Cricetulus griseus: one gene and its partners. The protein of the gene in region 1 purifies or fractionates together with the protein of each later gene. This does not show direct contact. Links are inferred from orthologs where the notes say so. Each region holds a gene or a part of one and is shown in the gene's direction. Other genes may lie near its edges.

What was found.
Region 2: the proteins of Mavs (region 1) and Ifih1 purify together in Homo sapiens (affinity purification with western blotting; 12 studies listed by BioGRID and IntAct, with this or other methods). This does not show direct contact. The link is inferred for Cricetulus griseus from reciprocal best matches to the Homo sapiens genes MAVS and IFIH1.
Region 3: the proteins of Mavs (region 1) and Nlrx1 purify together in Homo sapiens (affinity purification with western blotting; 4 studies listed by BioGRID and IntAct, with this or other methods). This does not show direct contact. The link is inferred for Cricetulus griseus from reciprocal best matches to the Homo sapiens genes MAVS and NLRX1.
Region 4: the proteins of Mavs (region 1) and Nlrp3 purify together in Homo sapiens (affinity purification with western blotting; 4 studies listed by BioGRID and IntAct, with this or other methods). This does not show direct contact. The link is inferred for Cricetulus griseus from reciprocal best matches to the Homo sapiens genes MAVS and NLRP3.
Region 5: the proteins of Mavs (region 1) and Plk1 purify together in Homo sapiens (affinity purification with mass spectrometry; 3 studies listed by BioGRID and IntAct, counting the BioPlex papers as one, with this or other methods). This does not show direct contact. The link is inferred for Cricetulus griseus from reciprocal best matches to the Homo sapiens genes MAVS and PLK1.
Region 6: the proteins of Mavs (region 1) and Trim25 purify together in Homo sapiens (affinity purification with western blotting; 3 studies listed by BioGRID and IntAct, with this or other methods). This does not show direct contact. The link is inferred for Cricetulus griseus from reciprocal best matches to the Homo sapiens genes MAVS and TRIM25.
Region 7: the proteins of Mavs (region 1) and Ikbkg purify together in Homo sapiens (affinity purification with western blotting; 4 studies listed by BioGRID and IntAct, with this or other methods). This does not show direct contact. The link is inferred for Cricetulus griseus from reciprocal best matches to the Homo sapiens genes MAVS and IKBKG.

What each region holds. Positions count from the first base shown.
Region 1 is NC_048599.1:47,330,561-47,334,513, reverse strand, and holds part of Mavs (mitochondrial antiviral-signaling protein), read left to right. Parts: intron 1-523; coding exon 524-701; intron 702-1,739; coding exon 1,740-1,906; intron 1,907-2,931; coding exon 2,932-3,067; intron 3,068-3,953.
Region 2 is NC_048599.1:112,265,699-112,269,651, forward strand, and holds part of Ifih1 (interferon-induced helicase C domain-containing protein 1), read left to right. Parts: intron 1-803; coding exon 804-972; intron 973-3,953.
Region 3 is NC_048597.1:155,948,795-155,952,747, reverse strand, and holds part of Nlrx1 (NLR family member X1), read left to right. Parts: intron 1-182; coding exon 183-252; intron 253-658; coding exon 659-747; intron 748-1,237; coding exon 1,238-1,857; intron 1,858-2,631; coding exon 2,632-3,453; intron 3,454-3,953.
Region 4 is NC_048600.1:73,610,835-73,614,787, forward strand, and holds part of Nlrp3 (NACHT, LRR and PYD domains-containing protein 3), read left to right. Parts: intron 1-253; coding exon 254-2,009; intron 2,010-3,358; coding exon 3,359-3,529; intron 3,530-3,953. UniProt on the Homo sapiens protein: Sensor component of the NLRP3 inflammasome, which mediates inflammasome activation in response to defects in membrane integrity, leading to secretion of inflammatory cytokines IL1B and IL18 and pyroptosis.
Region 5 is NC_048596.1:78,505,819-78,510,292, reverse strand, and holds the start of Plk1 (serine/threonine-protein kinase PLK1), read left to right. Parts: upstream 1-1,545; 5' UTR 1,546-1,635; coding exon 1,636-2,037; intron 2,038-2,782; coding exon 2,783-2,951; intron 2,952-3,580; coding exon 3,581-3,725; intron 3,726-4,403; coding exon 4,404-4,474. UniProt on the Homo sapiens protein: Serine/threonine-protein kinase that performs several important functions throughout M phase of the cell cycle, including the regulation of centrosome maturation and spindle assembly, the removal of cohesins from chromosome arms, the inactivation of anaphase-promoting complex/cyclosome (APC/C) inhibitors, and the regulation of mitotic exit and cytokinesis.
Region 6 is NC_048600.1:102,152,777-102,156,729, forward strand, and holds part of Trim25 (E3 ubiquitin/ISG15 ligase TRIM25), read left to right. Parts: intron 1-2,222; coding exon 2,223-2,246; intron 2,247-2,567; coding exon 2,568-2,669; intron 2,670-2,755; coding exon 2,756-2,854; intron 2,855-3,333; coding exon 3,334-3,866; 3' UTR 3,867-3,953.
Region 7 is NC_048604.1:1,290,370-1,294,881, reverse strand, and holds the start of Ikbkg (NF-kappa-B essential modulator), read left to right. Parts: upstream 1-1,487; 5' UTR 1,488-1,585; coding exon 1,586-1,588; intron 1,589-2,105; exon of another isoform or gene 2,106-2,259; intron 2,260-4,512. Other genes in the region: G6pd (glucose-6-phosphate 1-dehydrogenase), read right to left, coding at 599-718. UniProt on the Homo sapiens protein: Regulatory subunit of the IKK core complex which phosphorylates inhibitors of NF-kappa-B thus leading to the dissociation of the inhibitor/NF-kappa-B complex and ultimately the degradation of the inhibitor.

The sequences.
Region 1 (3,953 bases):
TTGCATCCTTTGCTGCTTTGCTTCTGCTAAGCCTCTGCCTCCTTACCTGTAAAGTCTGTAAAGTGGGGATGATTATAGCATTTGTTTATTTATTTATTTATTTATTTATTTATTTATTGGTTTTTCAAGACAGGGTTTCTCTGTGGCTTTGGAGGCTGTCCTGGAACTAGCTCTTGTAGACCAGGCTGGACTCGAACTCAACAGAGATCTGCCTGCCTCTGCCTCCCTAGTGCTGGGATAAAAGGTGTGCGCCACCACTGCCCGGCGATCATTTAATGGGACAGTGCCTGTAAAACTAGACATGGCCAGAGCCTTTTCCTGGCGGCACCCTTTATTGTTGTTGACTGCTCCTCCTTACTCCATACTTGTGCTACCACCCTGGCCTTGTCCTCCCTCTCGCCCAGTATCAGGTAGCTGCCTTCTTCTTGTGGCTTTCTTAGTGTCCCCTTTGCAGTAGCTCTCGTCTGAGTGGAGAAAAGCCTGGGCAACCTGGCCTGAGTAGGGTGGCTGTACTGTCTTCCAGGATCGACTGCGGGCTTCCTATACGCAACTAGGGAACCGGGACACACTCTGGGAACTCTTCAATAAGCTCCAGAGACGGGTTGGCTGGGTAGAGTTCTTCATCCGGGCACTGAGGATCTGTGAGCTGCCTGGACTGGCTGACCAAGTGACTCGAGTGTATCAGAGCTACCTGCCTCCTGGTGAGCATCCTGCCCTAGCCTCCTTCCTGGGACCCTGCCTGTTTCTCGGGCTTGCAATCTTCCTCTTCCTTCACCTTGCACCTCCTGCCTTTCTATTTTCATCACTCTCCATCATAGGATCTACCCAGGCTTAATCCAGTTGAGCCACTCACTAGCTGTGTCCCTTCGGCAATATTCTTTAATTTTGTAGTCTGTCACAGTGGGGCTAATGGCCACATCCCTCATGTGTGGCTGCAGTGGATAGACACCACAGGGTGATGCCTGTTGAGTGCTTAGCTAGAGTTCCTCGTCTCCCCTATGCCCAGCACAAGGCACCTGCCGTCAATTTTGTAGCTCATGTGTTTGCCTCCCTACTTGGTCCTCATTTTCTCTCCGATCTCTTTTCTCTACAATGTAGAGTGTAGAATCTATACCCAATCACTTACCCCACTCTTCATTTCTCTTTCCCTCCCCAAGGTTTCTCTAAGAACATCCTGGTTTCTAAGCCCAACACCCAGCTGCCCAGTTGCTCCTTAATTCCTCTTAATGTTTCTGCCAAGTCATGTGATGGTGGGGGGTGGGGGGTGGGGAGTGAGGGTGGGGTGTTGGTAATTGGGCCTGAAGAGAAGATCCAGGAAGAAAAATCAAGCCAGTCTTGAACACACCATGTTTGCTTTTCTCTTTCTTTTCCTCCCTTCTTTCCAAGTTGGTCTCTTCATTTGTGGAAGTCAGCAGTGCTCTCTCAAGTAGAAGTGACTACTATGGTAGGGTCAGAGATGGGCTGTGGCAAGGGTTAGTTGGAGATGACAGCCGTGAGGAGAAAGCCTTGGGACAGAGAGGAGTGACCACTGACAGTGTAACTGGGCTCCTGCCCCTCCATCTCCCTTGACACCTTTTCTGTCTTCTCCAGCGCCTGTCCCTCCTGCCCCCTCCCCACGAATTCATCCCACGTCAGGTCATTTAAGTTATTTAAGGGAGACATCTCAAAAGCTTCCAGGCCTCTTCTGTTACCAGGATAATTCTGATTATTCTTGGCATCGCTACATCTTTGTCCTTTAGGGACTCCACTCCGCTCCCTAGCTCCCCTGGAGTCACCAGCAGTTCCTGCTACAACCTCTGGACCTTCTGCTGCTCCAAGTCACAGCATCCCTGACAATGGCTACCAAGAGGGACTAGGCTACCCCAGGCCTGTCCAGGACACCCAGCCACCAAATTCCCCAGGAGAGGTAGGTTCCCAGTCTACTTCAAGGCCCCTTGCTTTTGTGTGCTTGCCTGCTTCTGCCCACCCAGCCTTCCAGAAGCCCCTTCCTACCTCCTGAAAACCGTGCCTTATCTCTGCTAAGAATACTAGGTTTCCTTCATGAGCTACCTGACTGATGGCCAGGCCTGTAGCCACCCCAGCAGTCTGTCATCAGCTAACTAAGAGGCCCTGGTCTTGAGGTCTTTACAGTGGTCATGTGACATGTTGGGCTGGGTAAAAGACTAGGGGATAACCAGATCTGAATGTGAGGGAGGTGATATGAAGGTTCAGGAAGTCATGGGTGGATGATAACAGGGTTCTTTATTGTTAACAGTGAAGTCAGGTATGGAGGAAAGATAACTAGTTCTACTGAGATGAAGTGAGTCAGCCATGGGCTGTAGAAGAGACGCCAAACTGGGTCTGAAGCCATAGGATCTGCACAGAAACTGCTGAAGAAAGGGCTATATGCAGTGGTTACAGAGCCAGACACAGACACATGGATAGGGAACTTGGGCAGTACATGGTTTTTTGTTTTTTGGTTTTTTTTTTAAGGCACTTGAGGTCATCCTAGGAGGCTGGGATGTAGTTCTCAGTTGGTGGAGTTCTTGTCTAACATGCACACAACCCTGAATTCAGTTTCCAGTACCATATAAGCTGGGCAGATAACTCATACCTATAAGTGTGATACCCAGGAAGTAGAGGGAGGTAGATCAGAAGTCACATAGTAAGTTCAAGGCTAGGGTGAGATACATAAGACCCTATCTCAAAACAAAGCAAAAATAGTAACATCAACAACAAAACCAAATAGATACCAGGGACTTATATTAGACAAGTATACTATTGACGAGCTACCCCCTGGTATGTGAAGATAACCTATGGCCAGAAACAAGGCAAGGGTTCCCGAGATGCTGGGAACAGGAGCTGGAGCTTATAGATGCCCCATAAATGTCTGTTGCTCTTTGTCAGCTCTTGGGAGAAGCAGCTGCTTTATTACCATTTCTTCTATTGCAGAGTTTAGAGCAACCCCCACAGGCCAGCCTCGGGGCCATCCCGAGGATGCCGTCATCTAACCTGCAGGCTGTCAGCCCTCAGCACTCCAGAGAGCATCATGGTCAAGAGCCAGAAGTGGGTGGAACCTACACAGCAAGTATGCACAGAATGTGGTATTACAGGGTCTCTCAGACCTCCCAAGTGAAGGTTGGGGTTACAGTTACCACCTGGCCTTTCTGGGACAGGATGCAGGATAGGAATAAAGGGTATTCACTTCAGAGAGTGTGCAGTGTGTGTGTGTGTGTGTGTGTGTGTGCACGTGTGCGTGCGTGTGTGTATGTGCGTGCGCGCGTGCGTGCGTGCATGCGTGCATGTGTGAGTGTGTGCACGCAGCAGCTTATATTCATTAGCACGTGGCTCAGTTGGGTAGGTCTTCTGGTCTTGTTGATGAACTCTTACGTACTCCCTGACATATACATTTGTTCTGTTAGTATTCATTGGCTGGCGCCTCTTCGTTCTCTCATCCTCTAGCACACAAACCCAATTCATAGCATCTGGGCAAGGCTCTGGGTAAAAGAAAGGCAGGGCTGTGAGGCATAGACTCGAAACTGGCCTTATTACTCCTGCCTTGTTCTGTGGTCAAAACAAGTTATAAGGCCAACCCAGATTCCGAGAACGGAGAAACTGGCAGAATCACACCGGAGGGTGTGATGGCCGTGTAGGTGTGCATTGCTGTACATTGCTGCATGTGAGACAGAGTTAGCACTATTTCTGCACTCAGGTAAAAGGACCTGGTATGGATTGACCAGGACCTGAATGAGGGATAGCATAGGACTAGCTGATGAGGGAAGCTCTTTTTCTTTTTTTTTTCCAAGACAGGGTTTCTCTGTATTGCTTTGGAGGTTGTCCTGGAACTCGATCTTGTAGACCAGGCTGGCCTCAAACTCACAGAGATCCCCCTGCATCTGCCTCCCGAGTGCTGGGATTAAAGGCATGCACTACCAACACCCAGCAAATTCTTTTTCTTTTTAAATAAATTTTTA
Region 2 (3,953 bases), about 65 Mb from region 1:
GACAGCAAAGGTCAATTTCTGGCCATCACACATGCATACACAGAGGAGTACACAGGTATACATTAATATCCATATCACATACACATATACAGAGATATATACACACAGACACATAACCCACACATATGTACACAGAGACACATACATAGACACACACACACACACACACACACAGACATACAATAGACACACAGAGATATAGACATACAAACACACACATGCACATACACACATAGACATACACATACACCCACAGACATACACATAGACACACACAAGCCATAACATGAAAACAGATTGAAGATACTTTCTCTTGACTTTGGTCACAGAAGCTCAAGCAAAACATTTATTAGTTTCTCAACTATTTACTATTTCCTTTATAATAAAATTTTTGTTTAGGAGTTTCATTTGTGGTGGGAACTGCAGAGGAAATGAGGAGTGAGAGTTAAAGGACAGTTTGTAAGAACTGGTTTTCCCCTCCCACCATGTGATGTCTGGGAGTGAAATCAGCCATGAAACTTAGCAGCAAGTGCCTCTAACCACTGAGCAACCAATTCAGCCTAATGAAAACAATTCTCTGGATTAAAAAATACTGCATATTTAGAAGAGGATTTGATTCAATGACTTTTTTTCCCTGATAGATTCTGGAATAATTGCATGGAACACTGCTGTTTTCTTTAGTGTTTGGATATAAGCATTTGTTTATATGTACGCTTAACCCCTTGACTTTCCTTTTTGAGGATTTTCACTTTTCATGTGTTCAGACAGTGTTTCCTCTTCCTTCCTTTATGTTGAAATGATAGATTTCTGGTGCAGGAAATGCTGGGAATGAGTCAGGTGTAAGAGAGCTGTTGAGAAGGATCGTGCACAAAGAAAACTGGTTTTCTACCTTCCTGGATGTTCTTCGCCAAACTGGAAATGATGCACTCTGCCAAGAGCTAACAGGTGCTGGCTGCCCTGAAGACATTGCAGGTATTCCTAATTCTAGCAGTGATACAGTGCGATTGAGAAGTCAATGAAGCCTCCAACTGTAATGTCAAACACCAGGACTTCTAGAGTCAACATTTTTAAGTGGGAAGAATTGATTTCATCTCCTTTACAAATGAGAAGGCCAATGTGTGGGAAAGACTCTGTTATGAGTCCCCTAGCACACTGGAATGACCACCAGTTCAGCAACAGTCCATCATTCAAATCTTATTTTTGAAATGAGATAATCACCTCAAATTTTTATTAAGATATTTTTACATTAGAAAGACACAGATAAATTGGAAGAAACTATATTTTTGATTCTTAATATTATAAAAGGCTTATTCTTATGAACACACATAATTTTCACCTAATATGAATTTTTAAATATTCAATAATAATATTCTAAAATAATATATTTTACATACTTCCTTTGTAAACTTAATTTAAACTGCCCCATTGAGTTTTTCCTTTCAAAAATACGTATCCTGTTTTCAAAATATCTTATGCAGAAAAAACAAGTCCATTATTAATAAATAATTATCAACATTATAATTATTTCATGTTTTCCCTTCTGTTATTCAGCAATCATTCAGTGAACTTGTAGCAGGAACTGTTCTAGATGATGAGGATATGGAGTTGCAGGAGACCTGGGAAAGTCCTCCTTTTCTGTTCATTCTAGTAAAATGATTCACTCAGTAAATGATTTTCTGAATGGGCTCTGCAAATAGAACCAATAATAGGTGGAATTGAAGGACTGTGATTAGTTCAATTATGTTGCTAGATTTTAAGAGAAACATTTGCTGTGTTTTACTGTGTGGCTTATGAAAATCTTTTACTTTTGCCAAGTAGTTTGAAGTTCTGAAGCATGTAAATATATTTCACTCTATTTATCAGAAGAGATTAAAATAGCTTTCAAAATCGGACAGAAACTCCAAGATTTCTCAACGCGGAAGTTCTAATGTTTCTACTAAAATTACAGGTGTGGGTGTACCTGTATCTACATCTGTAACTGTCTATTGTGATTAATCTACATCATCTCCATCACCTATGATTACATCCAAGGAGACAGAAACAGATACAGTAGAAAAGCTCAATAGAGAAAATCAGACCATTTTTACTGTGAACTATAAGAAAATACGAAAAGGATTATAAAATGATAAGAATGAGCTACATGGAAACCAGTAGGAAGAGGCTAGCATCATCCAGATGGCTGGGCAAGATAATTTTCTATCCTCCCCGCCCCCAGATAAACACCACACAATGTCACATGTTTGTAGTAAACATAGGTGAGGCTCTAATGTCCTGAAGCTGTTTGTTTTCGTTGGAATTTTCTAAGAATTTGAGGGAGCTAGTGAAAGGTGAGTCCAGCTAGGTTCAAAAATCAGATAGGGCTGCGTGCGGCTGTCTCAAGCCTAGCTCAGGAACCCCAGCCTGTGAACCCATTTTGTTGGCCAAGTGTAGTTCTCACCACACACCAAAAAAAAAAAAACTTCTCTTTGCATCAGAGAGGGTTACAAGTAGCAACTGGTCATCAAACATCAGCTGACTGTGGAGAGCCCAGCCCCAATGCATACATCTGAAACACAACTCTTGCCCCTAAGACTCAGGGAACATCACTGAAGAGGGAACATAAGGATTGTAAGAGCTAGAAGACCAAGAAGTCTGATGTGACACTGTGTCTCTTAGAAATGACAGGGAAGCTACACCCATGATACCATATTGTTGATATGACCTGGGCAATGACAATATCAATACTAAAAGTAAAGCAGAAGTGGGAGGTCTCATGGGGTCTCTTCCCTAGACCACGAAAAAAAAATTATGAGCAACTAATGTCTTCAAAGAAGAGGGAGAATTTGTTTCTCCCAGCAATGTACCCCTAATTTATTATCTAATACAAAGTAGTCAGCTCTGAAATCACACACACTCAATCAAAACTAAAGGGACTCAGCAAGTTGTATTTCATATTTATGCACATGTGTGTGTTTGTGTGTGTGTTTTAGTGTAACAATAAAAATCAAGGAAAAGGAGGCCATCAATCTGAGAAGAAGGGGAGAAGACATGGGAGGGGTTGGAAGCAGGAGACATAGGAAGGGACAGAGGGAGGAAAGAGGAGAAGTAATCTAATTCTATTTCAATTAAAATTTTTAAAAATTGAAAAAAGTCATGAGTTTCATGATCTCTCTTTCTCTCTCTCTGGTGTGTGTGTGTGTGTGTGTGTGTGTAACAACTATATACATAATATTTATATTAGGTATTTAAGTAAACTGTTTTATTGCTAGTTTTAGGGTTTATTTAAGAGACGTCACCTCTACGTTCCTTCCCATTTCTCCCTTTTGGAAAAGAATATTGCTCTGTGTTGGTTTCAGGCCTATATTCTGGGGTCCAAATTGTCTGCCTTCTCAGTCGCCAAATGGAGGGGAATTTACCTCAGGATCAGTCACACAGTCTCATACATGATATAGGTAATATTCAGCTTTGGACTTTAGACTTCACATGAGACTGGAGTAAGTTAAGACATCAAGGGCTTTGGAGATGGAATGGATGCATTTTGCATGCAATGAAGATATTAACGAAGGAAGCAGTGTAAAAAGTTATGTAGAAAATTTTATTCCCCTCCAGCTTCATGTATCAGGGCCCTAACTCCTATAATGAGTGTATCTGAAGGGCCTGTCTTCAGGAAGCTGTTGATTTTCAATGAAGTCCTACCCGCAGGCCATAATATGCTACGATTGTGGGCTTTGTAGGTGAGGAAGTAAAACAACCATCTTTCTTCTTATCGTTGAGAAGGTAGAGTATGCTATGAAGTTGGGTCAGCAGACAGCAGCCCTGCTGGCACCATGATAGTTGATTAGCATGTATATAACTGTAAAAATTAAATTTCTTCTCTTTAAACCACCCAGGCTATGGTACGTTTCCATGGCAGAGGGCCCCAGACTTGAAATCCATATGCTTCTATGCTCTTGGCTCTTTCCCTGGACCTGATA
Region 3 (3,953 bases), on another chromosome or scaffold:
AATGGATGATAATCAAATAATCATATTACTAAATAGAAGATTATGTTATAACTGCTATTGAGGAATAGCACATGCTACTGTAAGTGCAAATAGGAGGGGGCTATGATGTCAGTGTTGGGGTGTGCATTAGTGATGGGATGTAGATGGGATCTACAGATGCTGCCTCGTTTTTCTCTTTGTAGATGAGCGTATCTCCTTCCTGACCCACTGGAGTTGGCCATTTAAAGGGGTGCATCCCCTTGGGACCCCTAGGTGAGACCTGGGTGTGTCATGCCTCAGAACATAGAAAGACATAGATCAGGGTATGGGAATGGTTAGAATGTGCTGTCATGATCCCCTGGGCAAGATGGCAGCATGGTACAGAGGCAACTTCCTGGGATCCAGAGGAAGTCGGCTTAGATCATGTAGACACACATGTAGACGATGGGGGTGGGGCGGATTATGTAGACACACATGATGATGGGGGGTGGGTGGATCTAGCAGAAGCCAGTCTGAGTCTCAGGCGGGCAGCAATTAGGGCTGGAGGGGCCAGGCCTCGATCCTTGGGAAGGGTAGGAGTCGGGTGTCATCTTGGAAAGTACAGACTGGACTGGACTGAGCCCACGTCAGTGTTGAGTTCCATTCTAAGCCCCAAATCTTCCTATGTCTGTTCTCCCAGGGCCTTTATCCGTCACCATGGAAACTCAGCAGACAGTGTTCCCCCACCAGGGAGGCATGGACAGCTGTTCAGGAGTATCTCTGCTGCTGGTAAAGGAGGGTTTGGGAAGGAGAGGGGCCTGGAAGGAGAGGGAGGATGAGGAAAGCATAGGGAATCGACTGCTGCCATCCACTAGTGGTCCTTCCCTTCTTGTCTCTCTTCCTTGCATCATCTGTGCATCACTGGTGCTGTGCTCAAGGACCATACACAAAGCACTTACAGAGACAGTCTCTCCCTACCTTCAGCCAACCTCGGGTCCAGTAGCCAGATTATGACTAGTTAAGACTATACAAAGAGAAAGTCAGGAAGCCAGTTAGCCTAGGCTTGGTTCAGAGGCTCCCTGTGTTCTGTCACAGGGCTCCTAAACCTTACGAGTGATCTGTTGGTTAAGGGAATTCTATCTGTCCACACCACGATGGGCTCCTGTATCTTTGAGTTCTCTGTGTTACTCCCCATCTTGACCTACAGCCACCCTGGCTGGCGGGAAGAGCAAGCATCTCTTCCCTTGTTTTAACCCATGTCCTTTGCTTTCTCATCCAGAAGCCATCCAAAGGCATCGCCGGAACCTCACAGAGTGGTTTAGCCGGCTGCCTAGAGAGGAGCGTCAGTTTGGACCAACCTTTGCTCTAGACACAGTCCATGTTGACCCTGTGATCCGCGAGAGCACCCCAGATGAGCTGCTTCGCCCATCCACAGAGCTGGCCACGGGGCATCAACGAACCCACGCTGGGCTGCCCCCACTGGCTCTGTCTCAGCTCTTTGACCCAGATGCATGTGGGCGCCGCGTGCAGACAGTGGTGCTGTATGGGACCGTGGGTACTGGCAAGAGCACCTTGGTACGCAAGATGGTCCTGGACTGGTGTTACGGGAGGCTGCCGGCCTTTGAGCTGCTCATCCCCTTCTCCTGTGAGGATTTGTCATCCCTGGGCTCCACCCCAGCTTCCTTGTGCCAACTTGTGACCCAGCGTTACACACCCCTGAAGGAGGTGTTGCCCCTGATGACCGCTGCCGGATCCCGCCTGCTCTTTGTGCTCCATGGCTTGGAACGTCTCAACCTTGACTTCCGGCTGGCAGGGACAGGGCTTTGTAATGACCCAGCGGAACCCGGGGCACCAGCTGCCATCATGGTCAACCTGCTACGCAAATACATGCTTCCTGAGGTGGGTTGCTCTTTGCTACATACACCCTGCCGCCGCTGCCCCTTAACCTGCTCCACAGGGAACTCTATGTTCTTGGCCTACATGGTTGTTGTGTAGGCCAGTACCTAGGTTAGTTCAATCCCTGGCCCCTCCACTTCTTAATTGTGGGACCCTGAGCAAGTCATTTATCTTCTCAAACTTTTTTCTCCTTCTGCCCTTGTTCTGTATGGGTTAAGTGAGATACCATATATAAAGTGCTTAGCTCTATGCCTGGGGCCATAGGAAATAATCAGTAATTGATGCTGATGAATTTTTGGGGGAAGGTTCTCATTTTGTTAACTCAGGCTGGCCTGGAACTAACTATACCAAGCTGACCTTGAACTTACAGAGATCTACCTGTCTCTGCCTCCCAAGTGCTGGGATCAAAGGCGTGTGCCACAATGCCCAGCGCTGTTAGTTATAATGTTGATAACTATGGTGCCCTTCGTTCTTGGACCCTCCCCCCAATCTTTATGGGCTTGAGACAATCATGTTTCTCTTCTTTCTTTCTTTCTTTCTTTCTTTCTTTCTTTCTTTCTTTTTTTTAGGTTTTTCGAGACAGGGTTTCTCTGTGTAGCTTTGGAGCCTATCCTGGCACTCGCTCTGGAGACCAGGCTGGCCTCAAACTCACAGAGATCCGCCTGCCTCTGCCTCCCGAGTGCTGGGATTAAAGGCCTGCACCACCAAGGCCTGTGACAATCAGGTTTCTTGAGACACAGAAGTTTCTCTATTAACCTTTAACCATATCCTTCCCAGGCCAGCATTCTGGTAACTACCCGGCCCTCTGCCATTGGCCGTATCCCTAGCAAGTATGTGGGCCGCTATGGTGAGATCTGTGGCTTCTCTGATACCAACCTGCAGAAGCTCTACTTCCAGCTCCGCCTTAACCAGCCTGATTGTGGATACGGTGCAGGGGGCGCAGGTGTCTCAGCCACACCAGCTCAGCGGGACAACCTGATTCAGATGCTGTCCCGAAACCTGGAGGGGCACCACCAGATTGCCGCTGCCTGCTTCCTGCCCTCCTATTGCTGGCTTGTCTGTGCTACCTTGCACTTCCTGCATGCTCCTACACCTGCTGGCCAGACCCTCACAAGCATCTACACCAGCTTCCTTCGTCTGAACTTTAGCGGTGAAACACTGGACAGCACCCATCCCTCCAATTTATCCCTGATGGCCTATGCAGCCCGAACCATGGGCAAGTTGGCCTATGAGGGCGTGTCATCCCGCAAGACCTATTTCTCTGAAGAGGATGTCCGTGGCTGCCTGGAAGCTGGCATCAAGACAGAGGAAGAATTTCAACTGCTGCAGATCTTCCGACGGGATGCCCTGAGATTTTTCCTGGCCCCGTGTGTGGAACCAGGACACCTGGGTACTTTCGTATTCACGGTGCCCGCTATGCAGGAATACCTGGCTGCCCTCTACATTGTGCTGGGCTTACGAAAAACAGCCCTGCAGCGAGTGGGTAAAGAAGTGGTTGAGTTAGTGGGCCGCGTTGGGGAGGATGTCAGCCTGGTACTGGGCATCGTGGCCAAGCTGTTGCCTCTGCGGATTCTGCCTCTCCTATTCAACTTGCTTAAGGTAAAGATCCCTGACACCAACTCTCTCCTCTCTCTCCTCTCTCCTCCCTCCCTCCCTCTCTCTCTCTCTCTCTCTCTCTCTCTCTCTCTCTCTCTCTCCTTGTTCCTTCCTCCCAGGATTCCAGAATGCCTCATGATCTGTATGCATTTCTTGTCTTCTCTCAGTGGGGAGAGGCTGCCTCTTGCATACATGGAAATCTTCTGGAAATTTGGCTTTTAGTGGAATTGAGGTCTAAGGAATGGGGAGAAAGAATCCACAGGGAGGCTTGGGGTTTAAAAGGGGAATTGAGGTTACAGGGATTTTTGAAACAATCCCACATGGATTCCTAACAAGGATTTCTTTCTTTCTTTCTTTCTTTCTTTCTTTCTTTCTTTCCTTCTTTACTACTGCCGAGAGACAGACTGGGTCATTGCAGTCTAGTTTGCAGGCCCAGAAACTTTTTTTTTCCTTTTCTTTTTGTGTTGCTGGAGATTGAACCCAAGACTTTGTACCTGCTAGGC
Region 4 (3,953 bases), on another chromosome or scaffold:
AAATCATTGGTTACTGCCATAACAATCACGCCACTATTGCATCAGTGAGTACAGCTTGCTATATGTATATGAATGTTTAGTGAGCACCTTCTCCCTAGTTGACAGCACTCTGTGCATTTTGTTGTTGTTATTATTGGATCCTCACAATTTTCAATGTTCCTCCTATAAGAGCATAGGTCCACTAATAGCTTATTGTTGGAGAATAGGTATGTGTGGGCTTTTCCTGAATTCTACCTTCCTGTCTCTGTTGCAGATTACTGTAAGATGTACAGAAAACACGTGAGAAGCAGGTTCTACTGTATCAAAGATAGGAATGCACGTCTGGGTGAGAGTGTGGACCTCAACAAACGCTACACTCAGCTACAACTGGTCAAGGAGCATCCGAGCAAGCAGGAGAGAGAGAATGAATTACTGAGCATTGGCAGGACCAAAATGTGGGATAGCCGCATGAGTTCCATTAAGCTGGGGTCACTGTTTGATCCAGAGGATGAAAACACAGAGCCTGTACACACAGTGGTGTTCCAGGGAGCAGCAGGCATTGGGAAAACAATACTAGCCAGGAAGATTATGTTGGACTGGGCATCTGGGAAGCTCTTCAAAGACAAATTTGATTATGTATTCTTTATCCACTGTCGAGAGGTGAGCCTCAGAACATCAAGGAGTCTGGGAGACCTGATTGTCAGCTGCTGGCCTGACTCAAACCCACCAGTGTGCAAGATCCTGCACAAGCCCTCCAGGATCCTCTTCCTCATGGATGGTTTTGATGAGCTGCAAGGAGCCTTTGATGAGCACATTGGAGAGGTCTGCACAGACTGGCAGAAGGCTGTGAGGGGAGACATTCTGCTGAGCAGCCTCATCCGAAAGAAGCTGCTGCCCAAGGCCTCTCTGCTCATTACAACGAGGCCGGTAGCCTTGGAGAAGCTGCAGCATCTGCTGGACCACCCTCGCCATGTAGAGATCCTAGGTTTCTCTGAGGCCAAAAGGAAGGAGTATTTCTTTAAGTATTTCTCAGATGAGCTGCAGGCCAGGGAAGCCTTCAGGTTGATCCAAGAGAATGAGATTCTTTTTACCATGTGCTTCATCCCCCTGGTCTGCTGGATTGTGTGCACAGGACTGAAGCAGCAGATGGAGACTGGAAAGAGCCTGGCCCAGACCTCCAAGACCACTACCGCTGTCTATGTCTTTTTCCTTTCCAGCCTGCTGCAATCCCGAGGGGACATGGAGGAGCACCTCTTCTCTTCCCACCTACAGGGGCTCTGCTCACTGGCTGCAGATGGCATTTGGAACCAGAAAATCCTATTTGAGGAGTGTGATCTGAGGAAACATGGCCTGCAGATGGCAGACGTCTCTGCATTCCTGAGGATGAACGTGTTCCAAAAGGAAGTGGACTGTGAGAGATTCTACAGCTTCAGCCACATGACCTTCCAGGAGTTCTTTGCTGCTATGTACTACTTGCTGGAAGAGGAAGAAGAGGGGACAGCTATGAGGAAGGGACCAGCAGGTTGTTCAGATCTTCTGAACCGAGATGTGAAGGTCCTCCTAGAAAATTATGGCAAGTTTGAAAAAGGCTATCTGATTTTTGTTGTCCGTTTCCTCTTTGGCCTTGTAAACCAGGAGAGAACCTCCTATTTGGAGAAGAAATTAAGTTGCAAGATCTCTCAGCAAGTCAGACAGGAACTGCTAAAATGGATTGAAGTGAAAGCCAAGGCCAAGAAGCTGCAGAGACAGCCCAGTCAGCTGGAACTCTTCTACTGCTTGTATGAGATGCAGGAGGAAGACTTTGTGCAGAGAGCCATGGACCACTTCCCCAAAATTGAGATCAACCTCTCTACCAGAATGGACCATGTGGTTTCTTCGTTTTGTATCAAGAACTGTCATCGGGTGAAAACACTTTCCCTGGGGTTTCTCCACAACTCACCCAAGGAAGAAGACGAAGACAAGGGGGGAACTCGACAGGTGGACCAGGTCCCGTGTGCTTTCCAAGAGCCCTATTCTGCCTGTTCTTCCAGGTAAGGGCATTTGGCTCCAAGAAGATGGTAGCCAGCACCTTATGCTTTCTGGCTACATTTCTTGGTCCTTAATTCCTCTCCTCTCTGATGTTCCAAATATAATTGCCCAGCTTCATGATAATGTGACTGCCACCTTTTCATTGGTAGAGAGTGACTCCTGCTAGGTGGATAATTGGGGTTGAGGACAAAATCCAGTAAACTAAGAAATAAGCATTTTGGGAGAATATCAGTGCAGCACAAAGTATCAGGTGGACTGCGGCAGTGCATGGAGATGTAGCCTATAGCTCTAGCTCACTGTCTTACTTCAATCCTCTTTATTTCAATGCTGCTGTAATGGATGCTTGAAACTAGGTTATTTTTGAAGATAAAAGGTTTGTTTGTTACAGTTGTGGAGGATGGGAAGACTGAATATTGGGCACCCCACATATTTTTTCTTTTTACTTGGTGGGAGGAGGGGAAGCAACTCCTTGTTTGTCTCTTTCACAAGGTACTGTTATTATCTATGAGGTTTTGCCGTATGACCAACCATCTTCCAAAAACCTCACCTCCTGATCCCAACATTCTGAGACTAGGGTACCAATCTGAATTTTTGAAGAGTAGGTGAAAATTTAGATGATGCCAGTGGGAGATGGAAAGAGAGACGAGATAGAAGAAGACAGATTGGCTCCTTAGGGCCCTAAAGGAGTAGAGAGAGGCTAAGAGGCCAGATTAGGACCACACACTCTTGAGAAAGGCAGAGACTCAGGCTAAAACCCTTGATGAGAAGTTGGGATCTCTTACTTTAGGTAACAGCCATTTTCCTTGCTGAGCAGAGGCTTTCTTGGTTTATCACAGAACCTTCCAAGAGGACTAGCTATGTGGGTATCCTCATCAGAGGTTCAGAGTCACAAAGCTAGTCCTGCATGTATACAAAGAAACTCTCATAAGGGATATTCTAATGTGAATCCTAGAAATGACTGTGAAAATGAAAACTACCAATGTAGATGGGTTTAGCTTTTAAGATTCTGACTTTGCTTCTGTGGTTGCAGCATGGCTCGGGACTTTACAATTGGACATCCTGGACCAGTCTGCTGCATGTCCAGGCCAGGGGCACACCAGCTGTCTAATGTGGGAAGGAGGTGTCTGAGGGTGTTTGTAGTAAGCCTAAAGTTTACTTCGTTGCATTTCAAAAGGAACCTCTCTCTACCCAAGGCTCACCAGCCTGCTTCCCTCTGAATGAACATTTATGACTGGTGGCTTGACATCTAGGAGACTTTTCTATGAATAGGTGCCGGGAGCCTGCTCTGAGCTCCACTTTGTTAACATTAGAAAACCATGTTCTTTTCTGTCCTTCTTCTGTGCCATTCTAGATTGGCAAACTGCTATCTCACGTCTAGCTTCTGCCGAGACCTCTTCTCCAGTCTAAGCACCAACCAGAACCTCACTGAACTGGACCTTAGCGACAATACTCTGGGGGATCCTGGTATGAGGGTGCTGTGTGAGGCCCTCCGGCATCCAGGCTGTAACATTCAGAGACTGTGGTGAGTCTCCACATTTGTGTATGGTGTGTGTTTCTTCCTCGAGTCTTTGCATTACATTCCAGCTGTGTGTCCATGTTCTAAACTCTTACAACCTTTCCTTGTGTCTGATACTGTCTAAATAGACTAGGGCCAACACTGTGGATTCAGTTTAATTACCTATTTGAAGTTGCCTATTTCCAAATATGGTCACACACTGTGGGCTGCTGGGGTTGAACTCTGATACACAAAGCTTTGGAGGAACATAGCTGATTCTGTTATAAATGGGCAGGCTGAATGACTGAGGTAAGTAGGGAAAGCTTTAGATGGGGAAGGTGAAGAGGAACTGAGAAGAACTATTTCCTCGTGGCAAAATAAAGGCTTTGTATTTTATTCCTTCATGGATGAGGATTCTGGGTGAAAACTGGGAAATTTCATCACAGATTCT
Region 5 (4,474 bases), on another chromosome or scaffold:
CATATTTTGCACCTGTGGAATGGCAGACACTCAGCAGAAAATATTTAATCCTCTCAATTGTCAATAAAGTAGGGATTTTCACAACCCATTTTACAGAGGAGGAAACTAATTATCAGAGAAGTTGAGTAAATTTGCCTAGTGCTGCACACCAGAAAATTGGCTGAGCTGCATCAAAAGCCAGCTGTTATCTGGGTGCAAAGTCCATCTTATATGCCTTTGTCCCCATGTCCAGGGTGGCAAAAGCAGTTGACTCAGTGCCAAGCACCTACCTGGTGTGTTCAGAGTTTCCACAGAAGTCAGACGGGCAAGTAGGCAAAGGGAGTGCCTGGAGAACGGCGGCCAGAGTTGACTTTTTTAGGAAAGTCACTCACCTGCACTGTGTGGCCATTCCTTTTAAGTGTTGTAAATTTTTTTTTTTTTTTTTTTAAATGAAGGCCAACAAACACCCCTGCTGGGCAGATTTGGCCCTGCTACTTTGCTAGCACTCTCCAACCAGCCATCCCTCCCTCTGACTAAAAAAACTAGTTTTCTCTATTTGGAGCAACTTAGGACAAGCCAGGTAACCTTGCATTCATGCTCCTAAATTTGCTCCGCGAACCTGGCCGGGCCGGTGCAGAGATCTTGCTCTGCTCCTCTCCTCCCCGAATTCAAACGCAGCGAGAGGGGGGAGAGAGCTGATGCTTTTCTTTTTTTCTTTTCTTTTTTGGGTTTTTCGAGACAGGGTTTCTCTGTGGCTTTGGAGACTGTCCTGGAACTATCTCTTGTAGACTAGGCTGATCTCAAACTCACAGAGATCTGCCTGCCTCTGCCTCCCGAGTTCTAGGATCACCTTGTGTAGGAATCACCTGACAGTCTTGTTTGACCTGCAGGTCAGACCTGGGCGGTTTCTTTCCTTCGAGGGTAGGGGGGAAGGAATGTTGCCTGGTAGCTGAGGCTGGCCTTAGGCTAACTTGCAATCTTGAACCCACGCTCCTTCTTAAGGAGTTCCTGGGTGTTGCAGATACTGCTGACCCCTGGGTTTTACTGGAGAAGTCTAGAGCTCCTTTCAATTCGGGCTCCGGGAGTGGTTGCCACAGAGCTTCCTTTTGCCTGCCAGACATGCTGGGTTTGTTCAGGTTTGGGTTTATATAGACTAGCCAGGGAGACGGCAGTCGAGGGCGAAGGCGGTGCACTGCCAAGCTACCTCTAGGCCTGGAGTTTCAGATCTAGAAGGCCAGGAGGAGTGGAGGAAGGTGTTAGTTAGGTCCTAACTGGAGAAGCCTCTGGAGGAGGGGCATGAACCACAGGAGCATTCTCTGGCCGAGGAGCAGAAAGCCGGACCGAATTCTGTCCCCTGGGTATTTCCGCGTATTCCATCCGCTCCTAGTTTCCCAGGGTATCCCACGTGCATTTAATCCTTAAGTCCCAGCCCATCAAGTTTCTCCTCACAAGATCGGGGGTTTAAAAGCGGCTGCGCCGTAGAGCACTCCCATGGTGCCGCGCGCTGGGCGGGTTTGTATTTTAAATCCCCGCGGCCAATCAACAACGCGCAGGTCCTTGTAACGTTCCCAGCGCTGCGTTTGAATTCGGGGAGGAGCGGAGCAGGGCAAGATCTCTGCACCGGCCCGGCCAGGTTCGCGTAGCAAATTTAGGAGCATGAATGCAGCGGCCAAAAAGCTGGCTCGAGCACCAGCCGATCTCGGGAAAGCTGGGGTTCCTGGAGATGCAGCTACCGGTGCCCCAGTGACCGCCCCGCTGTCGAAAGAGATTCCTGAGGTCTTAGTGGACCCACGCAGCCGGCGCCAGTATGTGCGGGGCCGCTTTCTGGGTAAAGGAGGATTTGCCAAATGCTTCGAGATCTCGGATGCAGACACAAAGGAGGTGTTCGCAGGCAAGATCGTGCCGAAGTCTTTACTTCTCAAGCCCCACCAAAAGGAAAAGATGTCTATGGAGATTTCTATCCACCGCAGCCTCGCACACCAACACGTCGTAGGCTTCCACGGCTTTTTTGAGGACAGCGACTTTGTGTTTGTGGTTTTGGAGCTCTGTCGCAGGAGGGTGAGTGTTTCTGCTGTGGTGTTGGGGCGACCACACCGGGAACTTGCTGGCAAAGAGGCATCGACGCCTTGGAGTGGCCTAGAGGAGTGCTTGGGTTTCAAGCAATTATGAAGGGGCTCCTGGTGAGGGTGTTTGGCATTCCGAGCTGCTGAGGCCGGGGGTTGAGGGCAAGCGGAACCCGGGACCTGTTGCTATTATTAGGGAAGGTGGCTCCTGCACGCAAGACTGCCAGTAGGTGCAGGAAATGGGTGTTTAAAGTGATTAACAAGGGTCCCAAGCTACGGCTGCCGCGGACCTAGAACTTCCGGAGTGGAGTGGGGCAGGGTCTGGAGTGGGGGAGGGAGGAGAGGCTGTCTGGAGTCAGACCTCAGCTTTCAGGAAAAGGAGAGGGTCTCCTGCTGGGAGGAAGCCCCTAAATAAGGGGTTGAGAGAAGACGCTGGGTAAGGGTACTCGTTAACAGGAGAGGGGTCCTGTGAATGATAATGGCCTGACCAGTGTATGGACAGAACCATTAGGAGCCTGCCAAGACATAAGAATTATGGGTTAATAAGTGGAAGAGTTAGCTAAGCCTGTACTATAGGCCGAGCATTTATAATTAATATAAGCCTCAGAGTAGTTATTTGGAATCGGCTGGTCGGGATAGGAAACTTCCGTCTATACTTTACTCCCGAGGGTTTAATCTTGGCCACATCCAGCTGGCCACCCTTTTCCTTGGGCTTAACTACCTTCTTCCCTCTTCCTCAGTCTCTCCTGGAACTGCACAAGAGGAGGAAAGCGCTGACCGAGCCCGAGGCACGCTACTATCTACGTCAGATAGTCCTGGGCTGCCAGTATCTGCACCGAAATCAGGTCATTCACAGGGACCTCAAGCTAGGCAACCTCTTCCTGAACGAGGATCTGGAGGTGAAAATAGGTGAGGTGCTGGGCCTGCGGGTGTCTGGTGCCAGTACAAGAGGTGGCAAGGAGGGGAACTCTGGGAGAATGGGAGCCAGAGAAGTGGAAGGTGGGTGGGAAATGGAGGTGCTGCCCTCCAGAAAGCCTTCTTGTCCAGAAATGGAAAGTAAGTGTCCCACAGGCCAGTGTTTTGCTGTCCCTTTACTGAGCTGAAAAGCACCTTTTCCCTTGAGACTCTGATTTGCCTCAGTCCCTATACTCCTGTCACTTTTCTTAAACTTGTCACAGTCACAAAGAATATTTACTTGATTCCCTAGTGCATCCAATTCTGCTATCCTATGTATTTTAAATTTCATATATGTGGGGTTCGAGATAGAAGGTAACTTTCTGGAGTCAGTTCTGTTCTTCCATTGTGGGTTCCAGGGTCAACTCAAGTTGTTAGTCTTAGCGGCAAGCACCTGTACCTACTGAGCCATCTTACTTCCCTAGCCCTGCTATCTAAAGAGGAGTGTAAAGGGCAGTGGGAAGGTTCGGGAACAGAGACTGGAGTCTTGAGGCACTGGCTCTCTATGGTCAGTCCTGAGGCAGTTGTCTGCAGCCACAAGATGGCCTAGCAGCTAATCACCTCTCTTCTTCCCTCTGTCCCAGGGGACTTTGGGCTGGCAACCAAAGTGGAATATGAAGGTGAACGAAAGAAGACCTTATGTGGCACTCCTAACTACATAGCTCCCGAGGTGCTGAGCAAGAAGGGACACAGTTTTGAGGTGGATGTGTGGTCCATTGGGTGTATCATGTAAGTTGGGAATGGACTCAGGAGCTATTGGGTCTCAACAGGATTTTCTGAGGCATTTCATCCAGTTGACCTTTCCCTCTGGATCCCACATGAAGCCCCTTTTCCTTATTTATCAATCTATAGCATTCCTGTAGCTTGGACTTATGGTCCAGGGAAGGGACCAAATGTGTCTACACTTCTTCCTCCAGCTCCTTGCTGCTTACTAAAAGCATGCACTAACCCAAACCATCAATACCTCTGAGGGTTTGTTAGGATGTGGAAATCTCAGTTCTGGACCTGGGTCTAATAAAATCCCTGGCTGACTTTCAGTAAAGCTTTGGAAACACTGATGAGTGCTGATGGGAGAATCAGATCAGCAGAAAGGTTCATGGTAGGCAGAAGCTCCATCATGGTGCTTGTGCCTGTGGCAGATAGCAGTGGCCTCTGCGGTTCTTGAGGAGTCCTCTATTACTGCAGGCCAGAGCTGGGGAATCTCTAGCGCTTGGTATTCAGTGTTGTCACCTGCATTCTTCTGAGGGCTTATCCCAGCCATTGGCTTCTATGAGACTGAGCAGACTTGGAGATCAGCCTCATCCGTTCTGAGTCAGTGAATCCAGCCCAGCTCCCTTCCTCTAGACAATGACTTCTGCATTTGGACTTTTCTGGGAATTTGAGCAAAATCCTTCCTTGTGCCTCCAGGTACACCTTGCTAGTGGGCAAGCCACCTTTTGAGACCTCATGCCTAAAAGAGACCTACCTCCGGATCAAGA
Region 6 (3,953 bases), on another chromosome or scaffold:
TGCTCTTAACCTCTGAGCCATCTCTCCAGCCCAAGTAGCCTCTTCTTATCTCTATGGTGTCACTGCGGCTGTGGCTGAAAGGTGCTTGGCTGAAATCATCCCGTAGGCCACTGCTGCTTCCAGACAGGCACAGCCATCCCAAGTTTTACCAGGGTCTCAACTGGAGAAATGTTCTGAAACAGGCCCCGTGTAACAGGTGGTGCAGGGCCAAGCAGGCGCTCCTGAATCCTGAAAGGTGACTTCACCATCCACCCTGGCTGTGTGGGATAGCAAAGTCACCAAATCTGTCATGTGTTTGAGGAAACACTTGACACTCCAAGCCTAGTCAATAAATGTGCTCTCTGCCCAACTGGCTTTAATGCACACTGTTGCAGTGGTTCTCCCTCTTTTTTTTTTTTTTTTAATCTTTCCTGTCTTTAGTTTGTGCGTGTATGTGTGTTTATGCTTGTGTGTGTGTGAGTGTGGACACGTGGTGCATGTGTGAAAGTCAGAATTCAATCTTGGTTGTCAGTCATTACCTTCCACCTTGTTTGAGACAGGGTGTTTTGTTTGCCATGGCATAAGCCAGACTCACTGGTCTGAAAGTTTCCGGGTTCTCCTATGTCCGTAAGCCATCTTACCATGAGAGTTCTGGGAGACATGCATGCTACCCCATCTAGCATTATCTGGGGTCTGAAGATCTGAACTCGTGTTCTCATGCTTGCATAGCAAGTGCCCTTTGCCCAGTGAGCCATCTCCTGAGCCTTGTGTTTCTCACTATTTTCCTCTATTGACCTCTCCCACTGAGCCATAGGCAATGTTTTCCTAATTGTCCCCTCCAGTGAAAATTTGATTCTACGCGTGTACAGTATATCGGTTTATTTATAAAAAGAATAAGCAGTAACCAGGGCATGGTGGTTGCATGCCTTTAATTCCAACACCTGTGAGTTTGAAGCCATCGTGGTCTACATAGGGAATTCCAGGACAGCCTGGGCTATGCAGAGAGACCCTGTCTCAAAAAAAGGAAAAAAAAAAAACAAAAAAACAAAAAAACTCGCTCTCTAGACCAGACTGGTCTTGAACTCACAGAGACCCACCTGCCTCTGCCTCCCAAGATTAAAGGCATGTGCCACCACCGCCTGGCAAAAGAACACCTTTTACACCCCACACCTCAAGCCTTAGATTTTTATCCCTGTTCCCCTCCTCCATCGGGGATAGTGTCACTGTCACTGGGAATGTGGACATTGGGCTGGAGAAGAATAGTAGGAATCTCCTTGCTCCTCACATTTGGAAAATAATGACAGTTGAGCCCGTGGGATGAAAGCAAGTGAGGTTCCCATGGGACACACTGATTGTTAGAATTCTTTATAACCCTTTTAAACCAGCAAGCTGTAACTATTTCCCCGAGGTCTACTGAAAAGGCATCTAGATGCCCGCTGCTAGTGTTGTCAGGGGTGTAAGAGGTGCACTTTACTGCTTGTTGCTTGTATATAATGTGTGAGTTGTCTTTAGCAAACCACTGTTGGGCATTGGTCTCTCTGTGGACTAGAACACCTAGTGACAGGGTGTGCTTGGAAGAGCCCTGGGGAAGGCAGGATGTGTTTTTTGTTGTTGTTGTTGTTTTGTTTTTGTTTTGTTTTGTTTTGTTTTTCAAGACAGGGTTTCTCTGTGTAGCTTTGGAGGCTGTCCTGGCACTTGCTCTGGAGATCAGGCTGGCTTCGAACTCACAGAGATCTGCCTACCTCTGCCTCCCAAGTACTGGGATTAAAGGAGTACTGGGATTAAAGGCGTGTGCCACCAACGCCCGGCCAGGATGTTTTCTAAGCACTATTGTGACATTTTAACCAAGACTATTTTTTTCTGACCTCCTCTTTTTTGCTTGTTTTTTTTTTTTCCTTTTGCAGAGTTCTAATCTGTAGCAAAATGCACAGACCCTAAATGTATAGTTAAATATGTCTTTGACAAATGGGTTCCATCTTATCATTACCCAAACCAACGTAAACACTTCTTAGAAATTCCTTCCTATTTCCTAATAGTCTATAACCCCATGACCCCATGACCCCATGACCCTGGTCAGGGTTCCTGTCCTTGCAGATGTGTGTTTGTCCGCCACCCCCTATATTTTAAGTTAGGCAGGCTAGCCTTCCTTAGTTTGTATGTGTCAAATGCATATTGATGAATGTTACTATGGTCTTTTGTGTATGCTTTAAAATTCCTTAATCCTAAAATCTCTCTTTTTTTAGAGGAAAAGAAGACCAAGAAACCAAGTAAGTTGTACATTTGTGTATCTCTTGGTTCTCAAGACTTGTGTGAGTCTAGAGCTAACGTTGAGAGCAACAGCTGTACTGCTTTAACAAGGGTTCTGCCATGGCCCTGTTCTTACAAATGTACGCTGTGAAGGCAGGCAGGCTTGAGCAGGGAAGGGAGGCCCACCGTGCATGAGTAAGAGCCTTATCTGGACTCACTTGTGTGGCCCTGGCTGGTCAGATGTGTTTGTGAAAGTTGACAGCCATCTTAGAAGGGGGGAGAGGTCATCCAGTCCTCTGTGTCATATTGCTGTTTCACCTTTGTCTTCTCTTGGCTCTCAGCTGGTGCTACCGGCTCCTTTCCCAGCTCTTCCTCATTCAACAAGCTTCCCACCTTTGGAGCTCCTGGACAGTCAATGGATTTTAAAACAACTGACCCTGATGGTGAGTTGTTGTGACCAAGTGCCAGAGAAATATCTGCCATTTGTCCCAAGCTTGTCTTGAATACCTCTCTCTGTTTCCTCTTCTAGCCGCACCCAAAGCCAACACCTTGCAGCCAAACTCTACTGCACTCAAAGCTAAGATGCTAGAAAACTTCTTAGCCAAGTCTAGGGCCGAGCTTCTGGAGTGTGAGTAGCTTGACTATGTGGATGGAAGAGTGGGTGGGCAGATACAGATAAATGGGTAGATGGATGGGTGGGCAGGTAGTTGGATGAATAGACAGATGAATGGGTGGTCAGTGTACCAGTGAGTGGGGAGTTGGATGGGTTAATAGATGATGCGTGTATCTGAGTGGGTGTTTGGAGAGATGAATGGCTAGTTGGATGGGTGGGTGGGTGGGTGGGTGGGTAGATGGATAGGTGTATGTGGATAGGTAAATGGATGAATGGGTAGGTGTGTATATGGTCGGGTAGATGGATAGATGAGTGGGTGGGTGAGTGAATGGATGGATGAATGGATGAAGTGTGAGTGGGTAGGTGGGTATGTGGATATGTGGATGGATAGGTGAATAGCTGGGTGGATAAAATAAATGTATAGATGGGGAAGGCTTTAAAAGTGAAAGTACCTTGGGTCTCTTGTCATTGATTCCCGGGGGGTGTTTTCTCAGATTACGTTAAAGTCGTCTTCGACTACAATACTGCCCACAACAAAGTGGTTCTGTCAGACAACTATACCACCGCCTCCGTGGCTGAGGGACTTCAGCACTACCGTACCCATCCCCAGAGATTCACCTACTGCTCTCAGGTTCTGGGGCTACAATGCTATAAGAAAGGCATTCACTACTGGGAGGTTGAGCTGAAGAAGAACAATTTCTGCGGTGTAGGCATTTGCTACGGCAGCATGGATAGGCAGGGCCCGGAGAGCCGTCTGGGCCGTAATGCCAACTCGTGGTGTGTGGAATGGTTCAACAACAAGATCTCTGCCTGGCACAACAATGTGGAGAAAACCCTGCCCTCCACCAAAGCCACTCGAGTTGGTGTGCTTCTCAACTGTGACCATGGCTTTGTCATCTTCTTTGCTGTCACTGAAAAGGTCTATTTGATGTATAAGTTCAAGGTGGACTTTACTGAAGCCCTGTACCCAGCCTTCTGGGTGTTCTCCGCTGGTACCACGCTTTCCATCTGCTCCTCCTCTAAGTAGGCAGGCCACTAGGCCAGCCTCAGACACTTGGACTTTGAGGAACATCTAAGACTGGTAAAAACGCTGTATGTAGGTGGGATTCTCCTT
Region 7 (4,512 bases), on another chromosome or scaffold:
CGCTTCTGTTCTTCAGTTTTTCCTAACAGAGCATATTGGTAGTTGTTTTAGTTAGACAACTGGGAACCAGGTGGAATCAACAGAAATCTGCAGTAGGCTCTGGAAGATGTGGTAAAGAGTAGGTGTTTGCCTCCAGGGAACTTCATGCAATAGAGAGAAAAGAGGCAGAGGCAGGACCTCAGATCCTTTCACTGAAAGCAACTGTAACATTTGTCAAATTACAGATTTGGAAAACATATAGACTGAATAGCACTTCCTGGTTGCACCTCAGTTTTTTTTTTTCCATCCAGGAGGAAGAAGTTCAAGTAGATGGTGCTTTAGAACTTGCATGCTCCAAGTCTGGCCCACATTTAATGGCTGAACATAGATTTCTGAAAAGCCTTGCAAATGAGAAATTTGACAGAAGTACATGATGTACAGCAGGTACTGACTGCTGTGATGATCAGGACACACAGGTGGGAACATATGCCGTGAGTTCAAATTAGAACCTGTGTGGCCCCTTAGCAGTCAGTTGGGAAAGTTCAGGTAAAGAGAGAGAAGTGCCTTGCAAAATGCTACATTTGATTTTTTTACACTCAGGGCCTGAGGGGAGACTCACCGATGCACCCATGATGATAAATATATGTGTATCAGCTTGGTGGAAGGCATCACCCTGGTACAACTCTTCCCTCAGGATGCCACACACCTGGGTCCGGCTCAGGGCCACCTGCTCTGCCATGGTGTTTTCTGGTGGAAGAAAGACTCATTGATAAGGCAGGAGAACAGAAGAGCATTGACAACTTAACCTTATCAGAATCAGAAACTGCTGCTTCTGGGCTCCAGCCATATCCTATGTTGTCTTCTCTGGGGGCTGTACATTACGAAATCTCTATAAGCATTAATGGAATTCAGCTAGGGAATCCACTCTGGGAAAGCGACGCGGTCAGAGCATCGCACTGTGTCTGGGGCCATCGCACTCCAGTCTCTGCCAGAAACGCCACAATGAACTGAGCATCTTTTCATTGTGCAGATGATGGAGTTCAGCCCCAGCTCTCTGCTGGCCAAGCTAAATGATCCCAGAAAGACCCTTCTCTTCTAAAAGTCTAGTCCTCATGGGCCTAATGCGGGGAAGTGCGGGGTACAATGGGATGGGTTAAGACCTCGTAGATCTTTTTCCATATCCAAGCATAACAAATAGCGCTCATCAAAGGGACACGCGGCTCATAAGCGGGAAGCACATCCCTCCACCGGTGTGCTATCAGACCACCCCCTTTACCTGTGTTTAGTTGCTGCTGCCAAACAGGTTTACAGTTCTGGAGTGCACAGCTCGTTTCCGGGGGCTGCGCTTAGCTGGCTCGTTTAACGCAGGAGGGCGGGTGCTTTGACTGAGCTGACCCGCCTCAGGAGAGGCAGGAGAGGAGGAGCTTCGGACTACTCCATCGGTGAGGGAGGGGAGAGTAGCAGAAGTAGGTGCGCACGCATCCCTTGTCAGCCCCACCCTGTTGGCCGTCCCTGCTTTCCTGCTCCGCGATCGTGATGCTTTGCTGGCACAGATACAGCTCCGCACAGTTCTCCTGCGTCCCCATCGCTACCCCAGCCATACTTTATGGTCTGTTTTCCGATGGACCCTCGAGTCCCTGCGCACTCCTGGATGACCCCACTTCCGTTAGCAGCATAGCCACGCCTCCCCTTGCAATCGGTTTGGCGTCCTTTAGCAGCTTCTTCTAGGCTTTTTCCATGGTAGGGACCTGGTGGCAGAGAGCCCAGTGACAGAACCAGACTAAAACTGGGGTGTTTCATTGCGAATGCGACGCCTTGAAAATGGGGTGGGGACAACTGTGGGCGAGGTGACACACGCCTTTAATTCCAAGCACCCGGGAAGCAGAGGCAGGTAGATCTGGATAGCTAGGAGAGAGACCCTGTATCAAAAAAAAAAAAGTGTGTAAGTGTGTGTGTGTGTGAGTGTGTGTGTGATCTTTATCAGTGAAGAGCGTTGCGCTCTTCGGTTAGCCAATGCAGGCTGGCGGTCTGAGGCTTCTCTTCAGAGTGGGATGCAGCACTATTGTGGCTTCGCAGCTCCAGTTAATCTCCTCGACTTCGAGTCTGTGTTTTACTTCCGGATCCCACACTTACGACACCGGAAGCCGGAAGCAGGGGTTTCCACAGCCGAGAAGGGAAGGGTGACCGCCCAACCAGGACTTTCTGAGAGCTCCGATTCAATCTGAGAGGTCGGGTTCCGCTGCTCAGGCCCTCTTCACTTCTGGCCGACTCTGCTGACAGGTGTAGTCCTCTTCTCCAAAGATAGGGCTCCATCGGTGGCCATTATGCAGCTTCCGAGGCTCCTGAGCCCCCTTCCCCCCACCTTGGGCCCAGTTTGTTCTGTTGCATGCTTTCGAATGCTTTTTAGAGCATTTATTCAAGAAGTGCAGATTCGCGACCCAGCTTACTTGGACTGATTTCTGTCCTTCCCTCTGCTTATCTGTCGCCTAAGGGCTTGGCCCCAAGTGCTAGAACTCTTAGTTCACAGACATTTTTCTGTTGATGAAACTTTGTTTTCTGAAACAGCATCTCGAAATGTAGGCCAGGCAGACCACGAGCACAAGATTCTCCTGCCTCAGCTTTTTCAAGTGTACCGACTTTGCCTTTGTTTTTGAAGGGTTCACGATAAAAGGGAGAAACAGTCAAAGTTATCTTTGATGTAACTGGTCCCAGTGGGGTCAATTGATTGTAAAAGGCAAGGGAAGAAAGCATGGTGATCTGTAAAGAGATTATTGCAGTAATCCATGTGAAGGATGATAGTGCTGTCAGCCTTTTATTACTGAAAACTTTAAAAATGTACAAAAGTAGAAATATTAACATAGTAAGTTCCATGTACACATTTCTTAGTTGTCTCTATCAACTCATAGCTAACTTTAATTCACAGCCCTTACAGTACTCTACCATGATTTTTTTTCCTCTTTAGAAAAGATGTTATTTTATGTGTGTGGGTGTTTTGGCTGTGAGTATGTATGTGTACTACATGCTTGCCTGTTGCTAAAGGAATTCAGGAGAAGGTGTGAGGTCCCCTTGGATTGGAGTTGCAGATGTTTGTGAGCCACCATGTGGGTGCTGGGAACTGTCTCTGCAACAACAGCAAGTGCTCTTAACCACTGAGTAATCATCTTTTTTGCTCCACCCATTATAATTTTCAAAAACAGCTTTCTTGAGACATAATTTGCATGCTGCACCATTCACATTTAAAAACTAAAAATATTTACTATTTGTGTGTGTGTATGCATGATGTGTGTGGAGTGTCATGGCCAGAATGTGTTCTCAGGTTTCCAGGCTTGCATACCAATAGTTATCCACTGAGATGTGTCACTTGCCCATAATTCAAAATTTTTGGAGAGAGTCTCATGAAGATCCCTTCTTTTTGAGTTTCTCATCCTCCTGCTTTTACTTCCTAAGTACTAGGATTTACAGAAGTACACCACCACATCTGGCTACAATTCACGTATTTAAGGTGTATAATTCAGTGGTTTTTAGTGGGTTCATAGGAGTGTGAAAACATCACTAATTGCGGAACATTGTCATCATCCCTAAAAGAAATCCTAAATAAGAAACTCCAATCCACCTCATTTCTCTAAGTAACCACTAAACTACTTTCTGTCAGGATTTACATGTTTTGGATATTTCTTATGCTTGTAAGTATATACAGTATATAGCTTTTAGTGACATTTCTTTCTCTTAGCAATTATTTGGAGCATGTGTTCTTGTTTTTGTAACAGATTTTGCTTATTCATCAGTTGGTGGACATTTGGATTGTTTCCACTCTGGCTGCTTTGAATAATGCTGCTGTGATCATTTATATATGGACATGTGTTTTCATTTCTATTGGGTTTATCCATAGGTATCTCTTTTGTTATGCAGTGAATTTCAGACATGTGAGTGTTTCATTATGTATCTCTTTCAGAAAGTACTCTCAATAAACATAACTACAACACCATGATCACACTTAAAATACCTAATGTTATAGTGTGTCTTCATGAATTAAAAAGATGGGCAGGGGGGAAGATAAAGGAACAGAAAAACTAATCGAACAAGCAAGCAAAAACTCAGAAATGCTCAAATTTTTTGTCCTGATAGTTGGGGGATGGATTTGTTTTCAACTGATAGTAAGGGAAGTTGTGGATAGAAGTGGATTTGGGAGACTCACTTTTTTGGGTACTGCTGGGGATCCAGAGTCTGGTGAATGTTTGGCAAGTACTCCATTGCTGAGATATACTTCTAGTTCTGGGAAATTAATTTTGACAAGACCTCTTTTTATTTTAAAAATATTTAATTTTAGTTTTTATTTGTGTGTGTGTGTGTGTGTGTGTGTGTGTGTGTGTGTGTGTGTGTGTCTGTCTGTCTGTCTGTCTGTCTGTCTGTCTGTGCTCACACCTCTGTGTGTGTGTGTGTGTGTCTGTGTCAGAGACCAGAAGAGTACATTGGATCCCCTGGAACTAGAGTTATAGATAGTTGTGAGCTGCTCAACATGGGTGCTAGGAACCA